3 linked regions of the Mus musculus genome follow. The protein of the gene in region 1 interacts with the protein of each later gene in a pairwise test. Links are inferred from orthologs where the notes say so. Each region holds a gene or a part of one and is shown on either strand. Other genes may lie near its edges.

What was found.
Region 2: the proteins of Spred1 (region 1) and Ncald interact in binary tests that used the Homo sapiens proteins (3 or more experiments, as listed by UniProt). The link is inferred for Mus musculus from reciprocal best matches to the Homo sapiens genes SPRED1 and NCALD.
Region 3: the proteins of Spred1 (region 1) and Hpcal4 interact in binary tests that used the Homo sapiens proteins (3 or more experiments, as listed by UniProt). The link is inferred for Mus musculus from reciprocal best matches to the Homo sapiens genes SPRED1 and HPCAL4.

The regions. Positions count from the first base shown.
Region 1 is NC_000068.7:117,162,550-117,166,199, reverse strand, and holds part of Spred1 (sprouty-related, EVH1 domain-containing protein 1), read right to left. Parts: intron 2,703-3,650; coding exon 2,534-2,702; intron 1,255-2,533; coding exon 1,205-1,254; intron 1-1,204. UniProt on the Homo sapiens protein: Tyrosine kinase substrate that inhibits growth-factor-mediated activation of MAP kinase. Negatively regulates hematopoiesis of bone marrow.
Region 2 is NC_000081.6:37,456,582-37,460,331, forward strand, and holds the start of Ncald (neurocalcin-delta), read right to left. Parts: upstream 2,802-3,750; 5' UTR 2,636-2,801; intron 2,552-2,635; exon of another isoform or gene 2,439-2,551; intron 2,006-2,438; exon of another isoform or gene 1,908-2,005; intron 1-1,907. UniProt on the Homo sapiens protein: May be involved in the calcium-dependent regulation of rhodopsin phosphorylation. Binds three calcium ions.
Region 3 is NC_000070.6:123,182,229-123,185,978, reverse strand, and holds the start of Hpcal4 (hippocalcin-like protein 4), read right to left. Parts: upstream 2,476-3,750; 5' UTR 2,355-2,475; intron 2,227-2,354; 5' UTR 2,123-2,226; intron 1-2,122. UniProt on the Homo sapiens protein: May be involved in the calcium-dependent regulation of rhodopsin phosphorylation.

The sequences.
Region 1 (3,650 bases):
ACAAAAGTAAAGATGTACAAACTTAAAAATACCATTAAGCCAAATCAACTTCCCATTGAAATGTTCTTCTGTTGTATAAGCCACGGTTGTGGACATTTTGATATGGAGATATGGCTGCCATCTTCCTGACTATATGCTACTAACAATTTGCAATTCCTTTTTCTATAAACTTTCTTAAGTGGAAAGTAGTGAACAGGTGTGTATTGTTAATTTTGTTGGCTTGCCAAATCATATATGGTATGTAGTTGTTTGGCTAAACACTAATCTAAACTTTGCCACACATTATGCTTTGGACATGACTACATGTAATCAATATACAGTATGTGTCTTTTTTTTTTTAAAGATTTTTTATTTATTATATGTAAGTACACTGTAACTGTCTTCAGACACACCAGAAGAGGGTGTCAGATCTCATTATGGGTGGTTGTGAGCCACCATGTGGTTGCTGGAATTTGAACTCAAGACCTTTGGAAGAGCAGTCAGTGCTCTTACCCACTGAGCCATCTCGCCAGCCCTACAGTATGTGTCTTAGTCAGGGTTTCTATTCCTGCACAAACATCATGACCAAGAAGCAAGTTGGGGAGGAAAGGGTTTATTCAGCTTACACTTCCATACTGCTGTTCATCACCAAGGAAGTCAGGACTGGAACTCAAGCAGGTCAGGAAGCAGGAGCTGATGCAGAGGCCATGGAGGGATGTTCCTTACTGGCTTGTTTCCCCTGGCTTGCTCAGCCTGCTCTCTTATAGAACCAAGACTACCAGCCCAGGGATGGTCCCACCCACAAGGGGCCTTTCCCCCTTGATCACTAATTAAGAAAATGCCTTACAGCTGGATCTCATGGAGGCATTTCCTCAACTGAAGCTCCTTTCTCAGTGAAAACTCCAGTTTGTGTCAAGTTGACACAAAACCAACCAGTTCAGTACGTAAGGAGACTTCCCTCAACACAGATGATGTCCCGAGGGGTCTGGAAATTCAGCTCAGTCATGCAGCATGGGTTCGTCTAGCTTCCAGAATGTCAACCTGCCTACTTTAAGGATTTCATACTTGCAACCTGTAAAACTCCTTACAAAACAAACTTTTCTGTGACATGGTTCCGTTTACCTGGAAGACCAAGGTAAATACAGGTTCTTTGAAATTTACTTATGAATTCTAATGATTTCCTACAGAAAATGTTTTAAAATTCCTTTCAAGCCAAACCACTTACTTGTAAATCATCATCTCCTCCTTCAGCCTCAGTTTTTGACGCTGGGCACCCTAAGAAAAGAGGCCAAAGTTAATTAAGCATAGCATTTATATATATGACTGACTGACTGACTTCTGTATTGCCTGGCAACATTCAAATAGCAGATTCTTGTATTTCCTCCTCTGTTAGAATAAAAAGTGACTGTCTCCATCAGCTCTTGGCAAGTTTCCACTTACTTTCTTTCACGGCTAAGCTTCTAGCTGTGTTATATTTCTCTGGTTGTTTAGTGATGTCAAAATGTGACTAATTCAATTTTTTCTAAATTGTCTGACCCAGGAAACATATGTGTTCAGAATCAGAATTTCAGCTGCTCAAGTTAAAAAATGAAGTCAGTCTTAATTTACTATGGGCAGTCAAGGCCCAGCTGACTGACGCGGTGCATGCACATGTCTGTATAAGCTTGTATGGTGTTAAAGAGTGCCATTAGTTATAACAAGTGAATGCAAAATGATGTATGGTAGCAGAATATTCTGCATTTATGCTCTAAGCATGGCTATCATGAAGCAGGCATGAGATAAGGAATGAGACCTTTGTAAAAAGTAGTCTAGTTTATTTTGGGGGATAAAAAACTAAGTGACAGAAATTTAGTAAATCTGTTGAAAGAGAACACTGTTGATAAAGACATTGCAATACTATCTTGGTTAGGTGTATGTGCAATTCCTCCTTAAACAGAAAACTGGCTCAGCACTGTGTACCCAGCTTACTCCATCTTAGAAAAAGAAGTGTTCTCTTACAAGGGCATAAATATGGGCTTGAAAGTCAACCCAAATTTGAAATGTATCACTTTCATTTTAACAGCTATGAATAATAATTTTCTCTTTAAAATATTTGTTTTATAAAACTTACCTAAAAATATAATCAACTGAGAGCTTTAAAAAATATGCCAAAACTAACCAGCTTCACACAGTATCAAAACACACTTAGCATTAAGTATTTCCATGCTCATATCTAGTTTCCTCATAAGTAGTTTATATTTCTTCAAATTTTCAGAAAACAGCACCTTGTACTCCCCTACTCTCTGTCTCCTTGCTTTTTTAAAATACAGGCTTACTAAATAACCCAAACCAAGAAGATCTCACATTCTCAATTCCCCTGCCTCAGTCCCTAAGCACTGTGCTAACAGGCATGTTTGACCACTGAGTCGTACCACAAACTGACTGTTATTCTTGGAACATTTTTTTTTCTATTATTAAACACCTTTTAAAGGACAGCAACTACTTTAGGTCAAAGTTCAAAAAAAGAATATCTACTACTTATAAATAATATTCAGATAAGAATAATGAAACCTACCTAGAGATATATCCTCTATAGCTCTTCGAATGCCTCGATCAAAAGCCCTGGCATCAGCAGGACTCTGAAAGGTAAGGCCAAACTTCTTGTCATCGATCTTCCAGTGGTGAAATGTGGGAGTGACCTTATTATAGATGAGGTCTTTCTTAAGCATACATTCCAAAACCACCTGCAAAATCAGGTGCCAAGGTTAATGAACATACAAAATGTATCTAATGTAGCTCTTAGTAAACACTGAGGACTATAAATAAAAGGAACCATTTTAAATAAACTGAGGCCTTGATTATAATCTTCACCAAGTCAACTTGATAAAGAAATTAAGATGGGATCAAAAAGACCATACAGGTTGTAAACAGAATGTATATTTATACCGTAATTTAAAAGAAAAAACCCAGTGCTGCATACAAAACTCTTAGAAGAATAGACTTAGAAATATTTTGAGAGAATCTGGGGAACAGACAGGAGAAAATTTCAAAGATCACCCTACCTTTCTTCCCGTGGTTCTGGTGATCTAACCAACGGGCCTTGTGCATGCTAGACAAGTGTTTCCCATTAATTATATCTTCCAGCCATTCCTTCTCTAAATTTCTTAAGAGATCCACTACAGAAGCAGATCACTTATTTGTCATTATAATAGCTGGGTTATAAACTTTTTTTTCTCCTTTGAGACAAGGTTTCCCTGAGAAGGTTCTGACTGGTCTGAAACTTCTTAGGTAGACCAGGATGGCCTCAAGCTCTCAGACTTTGCCTCCTAAGTGCTGGGATTAAAGTTATGAGCCACCATGCCTGGCTCTGGCTATATAACTTTTCAAAGCTCTGGTTCCTCGTTTTGAAAATACTCATTTTAAAAATACAATAGTATTGAATAGATCCTATAATGAGTGAGTAATAGTTTCATGTCATTTGCAGGACAACACAGCTTTGTATCTTTGGTTTTTGGGGGGTTTTTGTTTTGTTTTGTTTTTCTGAAATGGTTTCAAGTAAGTAACAACAGGTAAATTCCTTTCTTCCTTTTACTTTTTATCTTTAACATTCTCTCTATACATTCACTTCATCTGTTTGTCTACTTTTGCAGTGCCGGAACTGCATTTATGGCCTCACAGGCTATGTGAGTAGT
Region 2 (3,750 bases), on another chromosome or scaffold:
CCAAGAACTTGGGTGGTTAAATAATGTCATCTTTATTTCCACCAACCCCAAACTGAAATTTAGTATTTCTTTCCACTAAAATGTGGGTCACAAACCACAGTGCCAGGGATGTTGCCAAGACAAATCGCAGATATTTGCATTTCATATTGCAATTCTTAGACTAACTCTATTTCAAAGCAGCCTTCACGCGAAGCACTGCCTCATTACTGTGGTAGCTATTGCACCTGCTGGTAGGGTATATGACTTAATAACATATGAACAAAGCAATTATCCTGTCATAATGAAAAGATAGTATATTTTATTTTTTATTATTTTGTATGTTTTGAAATTATTCTATAATAACTTTATCCCTCCCATTTTCTTTGCTCCCTCCAATACCTTCTGAATCTCCCCCCTTCCCCTGCCCCTCTCCCCTCCCTGCTTTCTTTCAAACTCATGGCCTCTTTTTCTTTTTCTTTTTTTAAAGACACATTTTCATGAAAAGTAGTTTCCTTTGCAACACAGCATACTTTGTTTTATGCACTTCAGATATCATTCTGGAAAAGAGTCCACAGGTAGCACCAGACGGCCAGACGTGCTCGTGGCACTGAAAGGGTTAAGGCTTCCTGAAACTAGACCCAGAGCCTTTAATAATTCAGCAGCCAGGTTTCTAGAGTCAATCATTCCATGCTGGCATCTTCTGAGGCTGAAGCACTCTTGACCTTGATAGCAGGCAGCACAGACTCGCTGCTGCAGGGGGATGCTCCTCAGCCCCCTTTCCTTATTTAAAAAAAAAAAACAAAACAAAAACAAAAAACCAAACCCTTGGCTCGAGGCTTTGAAAGTTCTTATTTTCATCAGGGAGGCTCTTTTCCCAACTTTTTATCACCGACATTTTGCCACTAACACCGACTCTCTCTCTCTCACAGTTTTGATTGTTGGAATCCAGTCTCATGCATGAGGGCATGAGGATGTCGTACATAATCATCTTGTGAATTTAAAACCAGGGAGAGAACCAAGAAAAAGAGTGAAGATAACAGTCGACACAAGAAAAGTTAAAGCACCAAGTGTATACCACGAGAGATGCCTTTAAATGACAGTGCTAGCTGGTCCCCCCATTCTCAATTGAAATGTCACACACCAGTTGACTCATGAAAGTGGTAGCGTCTGGGTTACAAGAACATGAGGTCAGTTAAATGACTGGAAGACGTCTTAGTAAATACATGTATGTACAAGCACATCAGACAGTGGACAGTCCTAACGGAAGCTCTGATCAAAAGGTCCATTCACTGAAAGCTGCTTGGAAAATAATTGATTCAAGCAGTTATTCATTTACTGCTGCGGCTACAGGCTCTCAGAATTCTCACCCAACGAGAGCAAAATGTAGAACCCACAATTCTGAGCCTAGTAACAGAAGCAAAAAACAATGTATTCTTTCACCAAACTAAAATATAACTATATCGTCAACCTACTGTCCAAACAATGTATTATTTCTCCAAACTAAAATATAACTATATCATCAACCTACTGACTGCATATATCGAGTGGAGCCAGTCTATCTATGCTCCTTCAAATGCTGGTTCTATTTCAGATGGCTGTCTAAAATACGCCTCGTTTCTGTTAAATCTGTAAGATCTAGAAACCTGTTTATCCATCTAGGCTTCTGTTTGCTTCAGAACCTGAGGTTTCCTTGAAACTTGGAGCTGCAGAAGGAGCTAGCAGAACCACAGCAATGCACACACAACAGCCGGAGCAATCCTTGCTCATCAGTTACCAAATCACTCACACAAGACCTGGAGCAAATTTTTATCGAGCATCCTCAATCTACATTTCAGTTAGGGAAGACCTCACATCAATGCATATTTAGTTCCAGGCTAGTTTCTTCTCAAGATAATTACTTTTAAGAATAAAGATCAGAACCAGCTTACAGGACTCCTTAGAAAAGGCCAGTCAGTCCCTCCTCTTCACCAGGGTTTTCAGAGAGAGCGAGCCACAAAATAGCACTTCACAGTAACACCCACAAAACAACCACACGCACACACATAAAGGTTCCACCCCGACTTCCTTGGCATATTGCAGATTCTTTTCTCTAAACAGGAAGCTGTTGACAGTTCCCCTCTTATTTACAGAGTACCAAAAGCCCCCTTTACAATAATAACCACAACTTTCAAAGTCTAGAGTCTTTTCTCACGGTTCCCATTGTTGCTAATTATACATGCTGCAAATGAGGTAGAAACCAAATTCCAGACTGCTGTGGGCTGACGCAGAATCAGCAGCAGCAACAAGGAAAAGTTAGCTGCTCCCTCCAAGGCGGTGCTGGAGTTACCAGACCCCAAACAACACTGAAGGAGGGATTCCTAGAATTCAAGGGAGCAAATTTGGCTCACGCTGCAAAATGAGAATTTCTAAATAATGTATGTTAGCAAGCATTGCGCAAGAAAGATTACATTTTAACCTACTTCATGGAACACTAATCCAAATTTAACCAAGTTCCAGAGACTGCCTGAAATTCGTGACTGGAAGCTGCTTCACATTCTTTGGCTCCGTTCGTCAGTAACTGCTCTTGAAGGCAAAGTTGTAGGAGGTTAAGAGGGGAGGGAAAACCATCAGGGGCTGTGAAACCACGTAACTCCTGTGTATAAAGCAAACCGATTACCTCACGCTGAAGAAGTGGGGGTTTAGTAGTCCATGCTCCTGCAGCCCCTGGGAAGCAACAACCACAGCTGTAGGGACAGCAACAGCGGCGGCGGCGGCAGCAGCAGCAGCAAGGTCCAGCATCCACCAGATTCTCACAAGCCTTTGACTGTGCGGACTCAGCCACAGACTCTGCCTCTGGCTGACGTCAAAGTCCCTGTCACATGGCCAGATAAAAGCCAAGAGAGCATTGGTTGTCGTAGCAACCACAGACTGGCTCTGAAATTATTTCAATAGGTCATCTGTCACTGATGTGTGTGCTCGTGTGTGTGCATATCTGTGTGTGCATGTATGTATACACATGGATTGCAAAACCATTGTGAACAGTGCCCGGCAGATAATTTCAACCCTCAAAGTTGTGACTCACGAGTGCCTGCAACTTTCATCATTAAAGCCTGCTTGTCCTTTCTCTGGTTGCCAGAAAATGCATGCTGTGACCCTTAGTCTTACTATCACAGCACAGAGCCCCTCCCCCTCCAGTCAAAAAAAGAAGCTGAAAACATTCATGAGGTGGTTTTCTTAGTGAATTAAATTCCCCTCTAAATAAACTGAGAGAAAACAGCTTTCAAGAGATTGTTGGTGGAAAAACTGTATATTCTTGAAACTGAATCCTCATCGGTGTCCCGAGAGCATGCCGATGAAAGATGGTGTGGCTGAAGGAGCCTGACAGGAAGGAAGCATGCTGCAAAAAGCAGGGTAGATAAAGCCAAGTCGCATGCCACCTAAGATTCCTTGCAAAAATGATGACCAGAACACTTCCACAAGGGCACAACTTTAGAAGGACCTGGAGATGATGAGAAAAGGGGCCAGACCCCTCCGCAGGTCCCACACTCTACCCTCCCACGATTCTCTGGTCCATAACGGACTGAGGGAGTTTCATGTTGAGTGACTGGTTCGGCATCCCACAGATGGAATCTCCCTACCACAGAGGAGTCAACAGTGCAGCCCACCTGTTCCCAAATTACAGCTTCATTGCCTTCAGGGACACGTTAGCTGATCTTTAGCTCTGTGTGAGTGCTTATGACCCAGTTCGTTCTCATTCTTAATTAACAGGAAGCCAATTAAACAAAATTGAGT
Region 3 (3,750 bases), on another chromosome or scaffold:
CTGTTGTTCTACCCATTACCCATCCTCCTCCAGAGCCAGGCATCTCAGCTAGATCCCACTTCACCTATGTGCTTAAAGAGTTTTTCTGCCTTCCCCCTTCTCTGGGCTGACACAAGCTGCAACCTGCCTTCATTCCTTCCCTGAAACATTCTTCCTTGCAACCAGCCCTTTCCCAGATGAGCAGTGGTCAGGCAGCAGCATGAACTCAAACCTGTGGGCACAGGCAGACCTTGTGAGGCTATGGTGTGGAACCCTCACCCATGCACTGTCTTCTGACACTGATCTAATGATCTAGGACTCCAGGGGAGAGTCTCCAGGTCTTTCTGCCCCTAAGCAAGCTTTCCCCCTTCCAATGGGACTTAGACAATTTCTGAGCATCTTGGATAGGGGGAAAGGTTCCTGATTCTTATTGTTTCTAAGTCTGTCTTCTGGAAGTTTTTCTCCTGTGCCTGCTGCACCTGAGCATCCCGCAGAAGCTTGGAGGCAGAGCCTAGGCTATAGTCACGCTCAGTGAATGTCACTTAGATTATGAGAGAAGAGCAACATGCCCTTCCTCTTGGTACTATGTCACACTGTTTTGTTTGTCTGTGATCTCCTATCAAGCCTACTTCAAAGACAATAGAACTCAGAGTCAGGGAAGAGAAAGGTTCACCCAAGGTCAACTGGAGCCCATCAGCTACAAAGCAAAGACCAGCGCCTATGTGGGTGCGTGCTCTGTTGAAGTCGTACCTTCTGGAGGGCTATGCTTCACTTGAGGAGGTACTCCTTGCTTCAAAAATCTCTGCCCCCTCCTCTGTGCTCAGAGGCTTCTTCTAGGGGGTCCGGGGTTAGGGGGTTCAAGTGGAGAGATGACAGTAAAAAGTAGGAGGGACTGAAGGAGGCAATAATCCCACACCCTCGCCTAGCTTCAGAGAAGCTGGTGCTGAAGCGGTTGCCATGGTGACAACAGCTCCCTGGTCAGGAGATTTTTCTCTTTCCCTCTCCTCCCTTTGCTCTTCCACAAGCAGCAGCAATGGCAGTAACAACCAGGTCTTGTTCCTCCCCTTCATAATAAAAGGCAAAAGTGACTCATACAAGGTGAGCTGTGTTGACCACCTATAATTTGGAGCTTTCATGCCAGGGTGGCCTGGTGGTCTGGAAAGGCCCCTAAGAGAATGAGGCTGTAGGATATGTAGGAGGGAGTAGCCTGAACCTTGGCCTGAGTGAAAAGGATGTCCCTACAGTGATGGATGGGGCCTCTCAGGTCTCCTCTGAGAAATATCCTAATGGTTTGAACAGGGCTTTGTTCTCCTGTAATCAGCTGTGGAACCAGAATATGTCAGACCTGGAAGGCTACTCAAGACCATCTCATCGAACCCTCCTCTGTCCTGCTCTTTGCCTATCTCATGAAGAATCTGAGAGGGAAAAGCCTTGGCTAAAGTCAAGCAGAGATCGAGGCGAAGGCAAGGCTTGCACTCTTCTGCTTTCTCATTCAGACATAGGGAAAGGAGAAAATGAGCCCACATGGACTCATCTTTGGCTTCATCTCTGCAAACAACAGGAAGCCGAGAGAGGGAGCAACAGGCACAAAAGGAACAGAGAAGACCGGGTTACAGAGAGAGGACCTGGTGCGTTCCTGTGTGAGGGATGATGAGGTTTAAAGGCTAGAGCTATGGGGTGGTCTTCTGGGAGGAGCAACCCTGGTTTATGCTCCAAGCAAGATAAAGGAAGAAGAGTGTGGAACCCCTGTCTAGTTGGGAGGCTACTAGAAGGGAGATGGTGAATGGGTCTGGAGTAGGAGCCTCAGGGGTCTTCATCCTTTCCTTAGGTATGCTGTGAGCTGTCAGCATAAGGGGCAGAGAGAGTGTAGTCAGAGAATGAATTTGCTATCGAGGTCTTTTGGGGAACAAGACCCTGAGATGGGAATGACAGTGAACTATTGGTGTCGGTGTGGGCTACCTCCAAGTAGAGGTTTCCATGAGGCTTGGTTCTAGAGGCAAGAGAACACAGGGTGACTGAAACCTCTCTTCTAGCACCAGTGACACCACACACCCCCAAGTAAGAGTGTGTGTGTGTGTGTGTGTGTGTGTGCGCGCGCGTGCGCGTGTGTTTGCACTGGAGCCAGAGGAATGGTTGTTCTTACCTGAGCTGGGGGTAAGGAGGCAGCTGTACCTCCTTCTTGAACTGGAGACCCGGCTTGAAGTGAAAGTTCCTGGCCCAAGGCGGGCTTCCCAGATGGCTGTCCACCTATGACAGACCCAGGGTCAGAAAGATGGATCTGAGCAGATGAGGATGGGAGTGGAAGGCGGAGGAGGAGGGGCTCAGGGCCTCCGCCCCGCGAGGTTGCTTCTAGGGCCCGGCCCCACCCTCATTACCTGAGGCCGCTCGCCGAGTCGCTAGATGGCTCCGAGCTTGGGCGGCCGCGGGGACAAGGCTGGCTATCAGGCGGACGACAGGCTCTGTAGGGTCCGCGTCGGAGCCGCCTCCCCAGTTCTTGTATCACTATTTGCTTCTCGAAGGCGACACGATTTGCATAAGACCCGCCTCCTCTCAGCAACTTTGGACATCGATTGGTTCGGCTGGCACCGAGTGACAGGCAGGGTTTCAGGTGGGGATGGGGTGGCCTGTGAGTCTAGGCTACCACAAGAGCGCGCCCCGCCCGTCCGCCCGCGCTGACCTTCCCGGAGTCGCCAGGATTGTAGAGGGCTGTACCCCCATCTGTTCCTCAACCCTGAGGCTCAGAGCCTGGGTCACAGTTTGGAGCGAAAAGTACCGATGATTAAAGTGGATTCGCAAAAAACAACCGCACCGTTGCTATGGGAACAGAAGAACCACAGTTGAATTTCTAAGCCTTCTCTTCCTGGGCCCCAGCGGGGGTGGGGGTAAGATAGGGGGTGATTCATAAGATGCGACCCCGTCTCTTGTCCTGCCCGTACCTGGAGGGGATCAATGAGGAGCTGCGGAGTGGCAAGGTGGAAAAGGGGAGATGGGGTGGTCAAGAACTCGCGGCTTTGCACCAGTGCCCCTCCACACCCACTCCTCTCCCGCCGTTTAGCAGAGGGGAGGGTGGGTGCGGCACGAGCTGGGTGGATGTGGAAGTATCCTCTACCTAGACACACGAGGGCGTGGGCTCCCTCCAGCCACCCCCACAACTCTAAGTCAGATCTCTTGTCAGGCTCTATCCTTACTTCTCGAGGACCCCTAAAAAGACTTGTTGGTTCTCCTCCAGAAGGAGCCTTTACAGTACGCCAAGCATTGCTCCATTCCCCACCCTCCCGCATTCCCGTCGCTTAGATGGAGCCGGTTCCCAGCCGCCGCCAGTCTCCGGCCTCGGATGTTGACACAAACCAGAGGCGGTTTACACTGAACGGGTCTGGAAGGTTTCAGGGAGGCGAAAACACCTCCTTTCCGCACTTGGGGGTCTCGTCACAGCCCGCTCAGTCGCCACGGATGTACTGGTGTCTGAGAGCTCACAACCCAAGGTGGTGGGAAAGAGCTCTAACGCCAAACTCAGGGCGAAAGGGGAGCAGAGATCCCTGGGCTGGGCCACGTGCGGAGGAGGGACTTCAAGGGATCTACCAAAAGTGGGGGCGGGACGCGTGGGGGATTGGTTAAATGGGATTGCAGATGCAGAAGAGGCCGGATTTCTGTCCAGGCAGCAAATGGTGGAGATGAGCGCTGTTTGGGGGACTAAGGACAGGCAAAGAACCGGTTTTTGGAGATTTGGTCTTAGAAACTCCCAAACAAAGCACAGCCAGGGGAAACCAGTAG